Coturnix japonica: one gene and its partners. The protein of the gene in region 2 interacts with the protein of the main gene of each other region in a biochemical or structural test. Links are inferred from orthologs where the notes say so. Each region holds a gene or a part of one and is shown on either strand. Other genes may lie near its edges.

Region 1 (3,650 bases), on a different chromosome or scaffold from region 2:
GTCATAATAAATACAAGATATCTGATGACTGTAGAGTTTAACAAGAAGAGCTGGTGAAATTAAAAGCCTTACCAGTCACAAGAGCTTACTAACCATAAGCATGAATCTTAGCTCATATTCCTCTAACTTTCCCAGATTAATAGATGCCGCCTTTATGAACCAAGTATTTCCACTAGCGGTTTAAATCATTTACTCAAATACCTTGTCTGCCTAATTGCTTATTCAAATGAGTATTGTCTTTGAGCAATCTGAAAGAGAAATAGGTGGTAACGGAAAGGACCAAATCTATTAAAAGAAATACCTGTAGCTGTCACAGCTAGAAGAAAATCCTAAGTCAGTTGCCATTCTCAACACTACCTAGGATATTTACTGATACAACATGGTCTATAATATCATTACTAGCATCCTTAGGTTTTTTAATCAGAATAAGAAAATAATAAAATAAACACAATATTAACTTAAATGCACAGTAACGTGATGGAAAGGATAGCAACAACAGCAGGATAGCAAGATCCTAGTCTTTATCAAGACCCTAGGCTTCAAAAAGTGAGGACTTGCTCAAATGCAACAGCTGCGAGCGCAAAAACAAAGGAAAGAAGTAACTAACCTTCAGAAGGCCTCAAGCAGGCAGGGGTCTCCAGCAGGAAACCCTTGCTTTCACTGCTAGCCCATAAATGAGGTCTGGTAAGGAGTGGATTCTGACTCCACCCTTTCCAGTCACTCAGGTTCATTGCATGCAGCTGAGCTCCCCCAGGTTGGCTCTGCCTTCCCACCAGGTGCTCAATCACTGAGTTAAGCTGTGACTTAGCATTTCTGCTACATGCATCTAAAATGAAAGCCAGTCAGATAACTTACGCAAAATTACAACTGTAATTTCCAATCTTTGGAAACAGCGCTAATTACATGAAAACATATGTGTTTTCTGCATATTCACTCATATAGCTTAATTTGGTTCTAGACAGTGTTCTCTTAAAATGCAGAAGCAGAGTATGAAACTAATCCTGAAACAAATACACATATATAAATTGGTCAAGCACTGGAACAGGCTGTCCAGGAAACAGTCCCCAACCCTAGTTCAAGAGATATGTGGATATGGTACTAGGGGAAATGGTTTAGTGATGGGTCTCAGTAGGCAACAGTTATACACATCATGCCCCATGTGCTTAATGTGCATTAATTACTCTTCATGATACAATAATCAATTTTCACGATGGACACTCCAACTTCTTGCAATGCAGCTGCAAGTATCTTTCATTACCTGATCCTGTGATTTCTTTTTCTTCTTCTTCTTCCCCCAGCATCCTGAACTCTCTGCATCTTTTCCATTGGCATCACCACAGAGTAATCCATCAAGTTCATCTGTTCCCATCTGCTGTCCCTGAGATGTTTCTGCAGCTAGCCTGTATGAGAGGTTCCTCAAAATGCACACACAGTTTTCAACGGTCTGAAAAGTGTGACAAAACAAAAACAAACAAACAAACAAACCAATAACAAAACAAATAAAAGAAAAAAATAATAAAAGAAGTTAAAATACTTCCCTTGCTCATTCTGTATACAAAGCAGATGAAACATAACTGATCTTTCCAGATACATTTTCCCAGTACAATTCTTATCTGCACGTTTCTGAGTACCTCCTTGGTAACCACTGCTTAAGAGATTTAGAAAATCTGGCAGGGTCTCACACACTCTTTTATGGAAAAAAAACCAACAAACAAAAAACAGTCTCAGCAATATTTTTCCATGAGATTTTTATTGTCATCCTGAACTTCATACAGGAGCCTTATGTGAAACAAAAAATGAAAATGGCAATGGTTTTGTATGTTTGTTGGCTTTAAACCAAAAGAAACACTTATTTCTGCAATCATATCGGTGATAATTGTCAGAACAAATGGGTTCCAAGTTCTGTTTCTGAAATATTTGTAGCATAAACTGATTATGTTTCTGTAGGCTAAAGAGCAAGACTATGAATTTCAGTGGACTTGATGTTTTTACTGCTTTTAGTCAGGCTGCAAATAATTTGTGGACAGCTTTTTCCTTTCTTCTATTTGTCCCCTAAATAGATTGGGCCTTCTGTAAAAGATGCTGCTGGGAATTCTGAAACAGACCCAGGGGAAGAAAAAGATGGCATTGGTAATTCAGCATAATTTCTGCAAGTCTAAAAGAAGTTCAGTTTTAGACTTGTTTAAATCCTGTTCATTTTGTTGGTTCAATTTGGTTTTGCTATCCATTACAAGATGAATCAGCATTTATTCTATTTTATGAAGGTAGAGAGCATGGTTAAGAAAAAGTCATTATCTGACTGTATCTATTTCAACTGTTCCTAGTGCTCTATAGATACAGAAGCAATAGTAACTACATTCCAGCTCTGTTGCTCCACTAACCCAGAAGAGAGTGAGTACGAGGTTTCAGCTCTATCCTACTCTGCCATATTCACCAGCCAGGCAAGCAGATGGAGCTGCATTTACTTCCATGTATTGTATGAGCTTATGCCTTGTAATATTTGGCACAGCTTTTGAGACAGCAAAGTTCTAAAGTTCTAGAGAGGGTACTAAACAGACTCATCTAGACAGGATCTTTTTTTTTTTTTTTTTTAAAGGAGACGAAACTTCAAATTAAACTTGCACTGATTTGAAATCTCCAGCCAAACACACAAACATATACAGAAAAATATACATAGAAAAATGCAAAACTTTCTAGATTATCTTTCCTCCCTGAATGCTATGACCTTGTAGTGACCACAGTATTTTTCTAAGTTTACTACCTTTGACATTTCTTTAGTATTTCCAGGTTTGAATCTTATTGACTCTTGCTAATAGTTACTTCTGTACAACTGCAACTTGCTTAAGTTGCAGCTTTGTGTTGATTAAAGTTTGACATTTTATTGTCCCTTCTTATGAGTATTAATTTTCACACTTTAAATTCTCATTCTGTAAAGAAAACAGTTTTAACTGAGTCTACCACAAGGACAGTGTTACCTTGCAGTAGAAACTGATAATGCCTCAAATGCAACTGACACCTTTGCCATTTGGATGAACTCATACAAGAAAAGAAAGTAGGTTTTATTCTTTCTGATTTGTAGCTCTGAACTTCCAAGGGACCTTGTGTTCCTCTTTCCTACAGATATTTCTTACATTTCATCATGAATAGCCACTAGATTAAAAAGTGATTTAGAGGCAGTTATTCAAATATTGGGTTTAATTAAAATCACTTTCAACTTTGGGAAAAGGATGCAAGACCTCTGGCAACAATATGGAGTTTTGCATTTAGCTGCACAAGTGCTTTATGTCATAGTTAAAATCCTGCTAGACGGGAGGTTAAAACTAATCAGGCAGGGAGAATAATTCTTCTCTCATGTCCTCATTTTTTCCTCTGTATCGCAGCCTACAGATTTTACAAAGTCGTAACAGCTACAAATGAGAGCATAAATGGAATATTTTATATTAGTGATAAGAGGCAAAACAGAGAGCTTACTGTGCTACTTATTTAACCCTTTTAATAGTATAACAACCTTGAAATCAGCTCAGTCATCTATGAAGAAGGAGCATCAGCGAAGCTGTGAGAAAGGCAGCAATTTACTTGCACCACCTTAATCTACCTCTTCATCTCCTCCACTGAAGTTCCCTGTCTTCTCCATTCTTGCAGCCAAGCTG
Region 2 (4,127 bases):
GAATGCCAGTAGCTGCCTTGAAAAGCATACAGAAAAACTGCTGGTTATGAGCACCAGCTTTGCTTTGTTGGTGTGATCCTGCCTGGAGCCAAATGCTCTGCAGCAGGAGCCCCGGGCCTCAGTGCTTCATAGCATTTTCTTATGGGATGTGGGGGAAACACGTATGCTGTTCCTGCTTCACCCCCTCACCCACCCATCTTGCTTTCTTGCTACTTCACAGAGCTGCCTGGGAACAGGAGGGCCGATCTGTAAGCGTGGCATTCTCACAGGGACAAATCACAAACAGAGCATTACTTACTGACCAATCCCTGGAAAAAGAGTGGAAAAATCACAGCAGAGGATTGAATCCGTCCAAGAGTGAACTCAGAATGGCCTGGCAGGGCACGGGGCATCCCATGGGTGCTGCTGCTGCTGCTTTGCCAAGCAGCTCCAGGTAACCCTGCTCCCAGCTTTGGCCTTGGGTATATAATCGGTGCAGACACTGTTGCGAGCTATCAGCTTCAAAGGAGAGTTGTGGAGAACCTTGGTGTGTGGCTACCTGTCACAGTCTTTCATAAAGGCAGTCCTTCAGAGGTTCTTTGGTTCTTCTGAACTCTTTTTAAGATTTAATGTTAGGCCTGTAAACCTTGGACAGGGTGCAAGTCAGGAAGGGACTCTGGCTTGAGAGAAATCAGAGCTGCTGACCGCTTCCTTTTGTGCTGCCAGGAAAAGTGAGCCTGAAGAGCAACACAACATTGGAAAACATGTTTTTGCTTTAATAATCTGAAGTTCTGAATAAAGAAGGAACTTTAAAGAAAAAATAAATAAATAAAAAGGGAAGAAAAAAAAAATAGAAAGGTGTTGTTTTATCTCTTTTAAATGGGAAATTCAATGTTCATTTCAACCCTCTTTGGAAATTGCACTTTCTGCTGAGTGAGAACCGGAGATAGAAGCAATACAGGGGAAACAGTCTCGGGAACATCCGAAAATACCAACACCGCGCCCCGCACGCTGCGTTCCCCTCATAGGCGGGGGCTTCGGGCACCGCTCCCCGCAGCTCAGCTCCTGCCCCGGGGGAACCACCGGACCTGGCTCCCGGGGCGGGGGGCTGGGGGGGAGGGTGGCTCCCGGCGGGGCGGGTTTGGCGGCACCGCCCCGCGCCGGGCTCCGGAGCTGCCCGCCCCGTCGGGGCCGCCCCCGCCGCTCCCCGGGCCGGGCCGGGCGGGCAGCGCGGAGAAGCGGAGCGGTGCGGAGAGGGAGAGACAGCGGGCTGGGGGGCGGCCGGCCCTGAGGGGCGGGCAGGGATCGGGGCTGTGCGTAGTGCCCCGCGGCTCCTCCGAGGTGAGTGGGGAGCGCGGAGCGGGGAGGCGGCCGGTGCTGGTCCCGGTGGCGGCTTCGCTCCCGCGGGGAGCGGTGCGGTGCGGGGCTGCGCTGGGCTGACTGCTGCCCCCCCCGGCAGCGGTGGGCTGCATCCCCCGGCTGTCGGTGAGGTGCGTGCTCGCGGGCTGTCCATCTCCAGGGGGCGGTGGGCGCCTCCCCCGTTGCCTGCGGCTCCTTCTGCGGGGCTCTGTAGTGTGCGTGCCGCAGCCGAGGGACTGGGGTGCTTCTCCTCCCCAACCCCCGGGGTCGGTGGGATTCTTTCCCAGGGACTTTGTGACCCGCAGCCAGCAGGGCGCATCCTTCTGTGGTCGGTGGGGCACAGCCCCGCAGGTGTCAGCAGGGTCGGTCCATCCCCCAGGGATTGGTGTGGTTTCATCCCTGGTTGAGTGGGGCTCATCCCCTGGTCTGATGGGACCCTCAGCTGGCTTTGCTGACCCCAGTGCATCCACGTGGAGGGCAGCGGGGGCTCTGACCCTACTATGTTGCCTTATGCAGTCTCCCTGTGATGTGGATTAGATCCCACTATGACCGTGTGTGTGAGTGACTTGCAGTGCACCAGGGTGCTGGGGATATGAGCAAGAGGGGTGCAGTCACATAAGAACACCCCCCTGCATGCAGCAGAGTAATAAAATCAGCATGAAACATCTGGCTGATCTCTCCCCCCCTTCACCACTAACCCTCCCCCCCCTCCCCCCAAATAATAATAAAGTAGTTCTCTACACTGTGAAATACTCCTGTCCACACAAAGCAGGCTGAGATAGGTGCAATATTGTAAGCCTGGGAGCAGTTATGGATGAGATGAGTTAGAGGAGAGCATCAGGAGCTGACCTCCAGCTCTGAAGTTAATTGTGCTGCCCCTCCTTGGGCGGCAGAGGTCCGCAGTTCAACCTGTCTGAAGGTCCCTGACTGTAGTCCTTTACTGCAGAAAACTCTTGCGCTCCTTTGAAAGTGTTTTAAATGAACTTCATACAGCCCATCCCGTTAACCTCCATGCTTTCCCTCGGTAGCCTTTTAATGAGCAGTAACCTCCCTGATCATCCTTTGGCAGTGTGTCAGGTCCCTGTGCTGGCTGGGAGGGCGAGTGAAGGGACATCTCTGTGCCACCTCACCACTGTCCCTTGGGAGCTGCAGGGATACTATGGGACACCATCCTGATGTCCCAAATCAGCTTCTTGGTTCCAGCCATCACAGCTCAGGAATTTCACTTGCTGTTGGCAGAAGAAGCAGCTGTGAGCAGATAGTGAAGCTTGGTCAAAGTTCCTTTACCTTCATTTTGAGGCAGGTGGCTGTGTGCTTTGCAGCCCTCACTTTCACACCCAGAGTTCACTCAAGTTGCAAAGATGATGCTATTTCCTCCAGAGAACTCACCAACTTTGCTGATTGTAGAGTGGCCTCTACATCTCTTATGCGGTCCTTGCACTGGAGGAGTCATCTGCTGAGCTCACAGTGTGCAGACATGCAACCTGCAACGTTATTGAGTTAATTTTCTCAACAACAAAATGCTTGAATGCAAATAGAATGTAAAACATGCCTTTGAAGTCTTCTTCTTTTTTTTTTTTTTTCTTTAAAATTATTCAATGCTTAGCCTAGAGGAAATCTATTCTTTCACTTTTAAAAACTCACCAACATTTTACAGAAGCAGAATGTGATTTTTTTGGGTTTTTTTTTGTTTTAATTAAGTAAGAAAAAGAACTAAGTCCTCTGATTTTCCTGATGTGAGGCCTTTTTTTATGTCCCCTTTACCATGTTGGGGGACCACTACTCTAGGTAATGTGAAAAGCTTTGCTGGAGGAATGGAGAGCAGCACCAACCTCTGCTTGTGGGTGTCTCTTGTTGGGTTGTTTGGCAGTGCTGTTGAAGCCCAACATCTGTGTTGTAAGAGCCACATTTCAGAGGACTTCAGAGTTGCACGTCTTTATGTTGTTGGTGTCTTGTTCAGTTCTTGGTGGCTTCATAGAATAAGGAATGGCTGTAGGCAGGAGTCTGGCTGTGTGCAGGAGTGCACGGTGTGTGATGGGACCTCAAGGTCCATCCGCCTTAGTTCATCATCACAAGTGTTGTGAAATGCTTGGTTCCATTTATTTGCTGTAGAAATGAGTTTCTGCATCCTGCCTTTAAAATCCAAGTCATGACATCTGTGCAAAAAAAAAATCTTGCTCTTGTTTTTGTCACTGTTTTAGCTATAAATCTTCTATATGTCACACGCCATGGCTCTTGGCAGGTCAGTTGGGTTGTCCTAAGTCAAAAGCTGTGGATTTTATCAATGGAAATATACAAGTAAGTCATTCCTACAATTCTTTTCTGAGTCTTATTGCTGAACATACATGGCTTTGCTGTGTTGTACACATTTTTGCACTGATGTTTCTGTCTTTCTTGCCATCAGTACAGGGCTTGTTCTTCTGCCAGGTTTCCTGCAGGTGCCAATAGGAGCTTAACATAGCATTCTTACCCCTAATGGGTTCAAACCTCTTAGAAACTCCGTTAGACAAATGCAGAATTAAAAAAAATAAAAAATAAAGTAAAATCAACAAACTTTGAACCAGGCAACACGAAGTCAGGAAATGCAGGGGCTGGGGCTCCAACAGCAATATTAACTTGGCTGCAGTGCACATCCTGTGCACTCTTAATGGCATAAGTCTTATAATGTATACAGGAATATGCACGTAGGGTAATATATGCAGAGAGAGAGTAGAAAAGAGTGTTTTTCTGAGTCTGACCCACTTGTCCATGCATGAGCCGGCTGCTGCGGGCCTTGTGGGAGCCAGGCA
Region 3 (3,650 bases), on a different chromosome or scaffold from region 2:
TCTTTCATCAGCTGCACCAGAGCTGTGCTTGATTTACGTAGCTTTTTTGGGGCCTATGGCATATAGGAGATAGGTATCTTTGATTTCAAAGGAGAAACTACGTGCCGCAAATCAGTGTGGGCAGGAACTAGGCTGGAGGTACTTAAATGACCAGCAGGAATTTAAAGTTGTTATGATGTTTGCAGGAAATACTTTGGGCTGTATGTCAGTGTCAGGTTAGGCTCAGAATGTGTTCTTTGATGGCATGCACTTGGTACATCCAAGCAGAGTATTTCATGACATAAACATTTTACTGCTTGCTCTTCCATTCTCCGTGCATCGTTCAAATACCAGCTGAGCGTGTTCTTTTTTACCTGTTTAAATTTATCAGGGCAGTAAAATAATAACTTGCACAACTGAATTACCTACCGTATCTTTCACAATAGAAATACAGCTTTTACCTCCCGTTCTAGCTGAGGATAATGTCAGAGAGCTACATCTGAACACAGTGCAGTGAAAATGAAACATTTCTGTCGTAGTTGGTAGAATTGCTACTGGCAGATCATGAAGTGCATGGGCGTTAGTAGTAGTATCAGAACTGACTCTCTGTAAAGTATTGGTGTATCTGATTAATTTCTAAACAGTGTGGAAACATGAGAGTTATCCAACTAAACTCTAGACATATTTACGGAGAAGTGTCCAATTCACGTGTCTTACATTTGTACATCTGAAAATTGCTTCTTCGTGCATTTCATTCCTGAAATACAAAGAGCACAGCAGAGTGAAGGAGGCTTTTGCAGTTTTCCTCTCTTCCACAGCATACAGTAGATGCAGTTTGTCAAGGTATGCCACTATATCTACCAGATACAACTAGAAATGTGAATTCTCTGCTCATTTGTCCACCTGAGAGCAGTTACCTTAGAAATAAAGAAGTTAGCACAACAGTTCTGCTGAGTCAGGAAGCTACATCCATGTCCCTGACCCGGAAACCATTAGCTTAATACTTGGAAATCATCCCCTTACTAGCTTTTATTCAGGGAAAATATGCAAGTAATTGTGAAAGTAAAATGGAAAACAAACTATATAACTTTTTGTTTAATTCTTTTTCCTTTTTCTTTTTAGTACTGTTGGCAAATTGAAGTTACTGTTGGTAATTGAATTTTATTATACACCTTAAAACATTTTGCATCCTAATTTCTCCTTAATGGCACAAGATGCGTATCTTTCTTTAAATGCTCAGGCAAGCTGGGGCATAAGCCTGATTCCACCAAACCTATATCTCTGCAGCCAGCCTCTCTGTCTTCTCTGGGATGCTGAGTAACTGTTCCCTTACAACTGGCGGCAGCTTTCAACATTGAGCACTATGCACCTTTTTTAGACTGATTTTTTTTGCTTACACTTTTAACTTTGTATTGTCTCTTCTCTTCAATAGACATTTGTTACCTGGTTTGTTTTAATACTAATTTTATACTAGGAGTTGGAAATCTGCAAAGATCATCCAGTCAGCGTAGCACACTCACATACCAAAGAAATAATTATGCTCTGAACACAACTGCTACCTATGCGGAACCCTACAGGTCAATGCAGTACCGCCTGTCAGAGTCTGCCTATAACAGGCTGCAGCACACAGCGCCCGCCGACGATGGGACCACGCGATCTCCATCCATAGATAGCATTCAAAAAGACCCCAGGCAAGTCCACTTGTGCTCTCAAGAACCAAACATACTTGTCATAAGGTGATATTTACTGTCTTTGGGAGAGAAGTCTTTGTGTTGTTGCTGTGGGGGTGGTCACACTCTGGAACAGATCAAGGTGGCCCACGTGTTCAAGGTGCATGTAGGTAACGCGCTGTTAGGTTTTGGTTAGCCAGAAGTGACGGGGCAGTTGTTCTGGATCACCTCTGAGGGTCCCCTTCAGCCACATTATTGTTTTCTATTGTTGTTAGGGAGAAATAAATCTCAGAGTAGCAATGCAAACAAGGTCAGTAACTGAACTTTCCCTTTATGGTGAGTGGATTCTAGGGAGACCTGACTGCAGGTCAGGTCTGAATTGACTCTGAATGCAGAGGAAAAGATACTGCAATGTTCAGTGTGCATCTTGCATTATGCACTTCAGCTCACAGAGACTGATGTAGGTTGCAGTGTTTTAGTTGGTAGAGTTTTATTACATGAATCTGTTTTGTCAACAACCAAACCAACACAAGAGCACAGAAAATGAAGGGTCCTTTTCCAGTAAGAAGACTAGAAGCTGATGTGACATAGCTGTTCTAATGTAATTGGTTTTTCTCCTACCCCCAATACTCCAGAATTGTTATGCAATACTTAAGATATTCTCCTAGTTCTACTTAGTAAATAAACACACATTTGTAAGTAATGCCTTTCCTTGAATGTGTTTGTCCAACAAAGGGAGTTTGCTTGGAGAGATCCAGAGCTGCCTGAGGTCATTCACATGCTCCAGCACCAGTTCCCATCGGTCCAGGCGAACGCGGCTGCCTACCTTCAGCATTTGTGCTTTGGAGATAACAAAGTGAAAACAGAGGTACTGCAGTGAGAGCATTTCTGATCTGGGGGAAGCCATAAACTAAAGGAGCAACTGGAGCTCTGGTCTTTGTTTTCCTTTCTTGTTGCAACACCATATTCTGGACCTCGTGTGTTTGTTTGCTCTGGGTGTATGTCAGTATTGAAATACACGTGTGGACAGACGTGTGCAGACAAACACACACACCTTTCCTGCATAGCAGCTGGAAGTGATGTGAATAAGTCTAATGATGGGCAGTGTGATCTAGCAGAAATGCAGAGTACGTTTCTTGACACCTGTGTTCATGGAACTGTTGATGTCTATAGGCAGATGCTAAAGGAATTTGCTTTTCCATTCATGTGCAGGTTTTATTTGTCATTTGCACAATAAATCCTATGTAAATAAATTACTGACTCAGCAAAACAAAAGTCTCGGGAATGATTTTCTAACTCCAGTTTTATCTTGAATTATGTGCACAAAACTGCATCTCATCCAACCTGATATTCCTGTGCTGCTTCCCAGGTGTGTCGGCTGGGAGGGATCAAACACCTGGTGGATCTCCTGGATCACAGAGTCCTGGAGGTTCAGAAGAACGCGTGTGGTGCACTGAGAAACCTGGTGTATGGAAAGTCTACTGATGAAAACAAGATAGCAATGAAGAACGTTGGTGGGATCCCTGCGCTTCTGCGGTTGTTAAGAAAATCTGTTGATGCAGAAATAAAAGAGCTCGTAACAGGTATGGTTTGGATAGAGACTGATGCAGAACTGTAGCACAGATAATGGTTCTGACGTGGATAAGACCTAGAAATAACCAGTAAGTGACTGGAATTGAGTATATTGGCTGGATTTGTATTTGAGCATCAGTATTTCATCAATACAAAACCACAGATTTTGATTAGTAACAGCTAAAAGCGTTAGCACAGAAGTACAGGTTCAGGGGGAGAAGTGAATCCTGCGGTTACTGCCCCAAGGTTCCGCAGTGCAGTGCCCCTTTAGGGCGTTCTGTGGGGGCTGTCCTCTCACCTTCCTGCTCCTTCCTCAAAGAGCTCGTACCCTGGACAGCCAGCCAGGATGGGGGATGCCAAATACATCAACTTGAATAGGAGAGAATGTTACATCAGGGTGAAGAAAGTCCTATCGTGGCAGCTTTGCTG

What was found.
Region 1: the proteins of PDZD2 (region 2) and CTNND2 form a complex in vitro, tested with the Homo sapiens proteins (2 studies listed by BioGRID and IntAct, with this or other methods). The link is inferred for Coturnix japonica from reciprocal best matches to the Homo sapiens genes PDZD2 and CTNND2.
Region 3: the proteins of PDZD2 (region 2) and PKP4 form a complex in vitro, tested with the Homo sapiens proteins (2 studies listed by BioGRID and IntAct, with this or other methods). The link is inferred for Coturnix japonica from reciprocal best matches to the Homo sapiens genes PDZD2 and PKP4.

What each region holds. Positions count from the first base shown.
Region 1 is NC_029517.1:52,588,540-52,592,189, forward strand, and holds part of CTNND2 (catenin delta-2), read right to left. Parts: intron 1,445-3,650; coding exon 1,259-1,444; intron 1-1,258. UniProt on the Homo sapiens protein: Has a critical role in neuronal development, particularly in the formation and/or maintenance of dendritic spines and synapses. Involved in the regulation of Wnt signaling.
Region 2 is NC_029547.1:8,871,736-8,875,862, reverse strand, and holds the start of PDZD2 (PDZ domain-containing protein 2), read left to right. Parts: upstream 1-1,211; 5' UTR 1,212-1,320; intron 1,321-4,127.
Region 3 is NC_029522.1:33,222,140-33,225,789, forward strand, and holds part of PKP4 (plakophilin-4), read left to right. Parts: intron 1-1,453; coding exon 1,454-1,670; intron 1,671-2,384; coding exon 2,385-2,517; intron 2,518-3,018; coding exon 3,019-3,232; intron 3,233-3,650. UniProt on the Homo sapiens protein: Plays a role as a regulator of Rho activity during cytokinesis. May play a role in junctional plaques.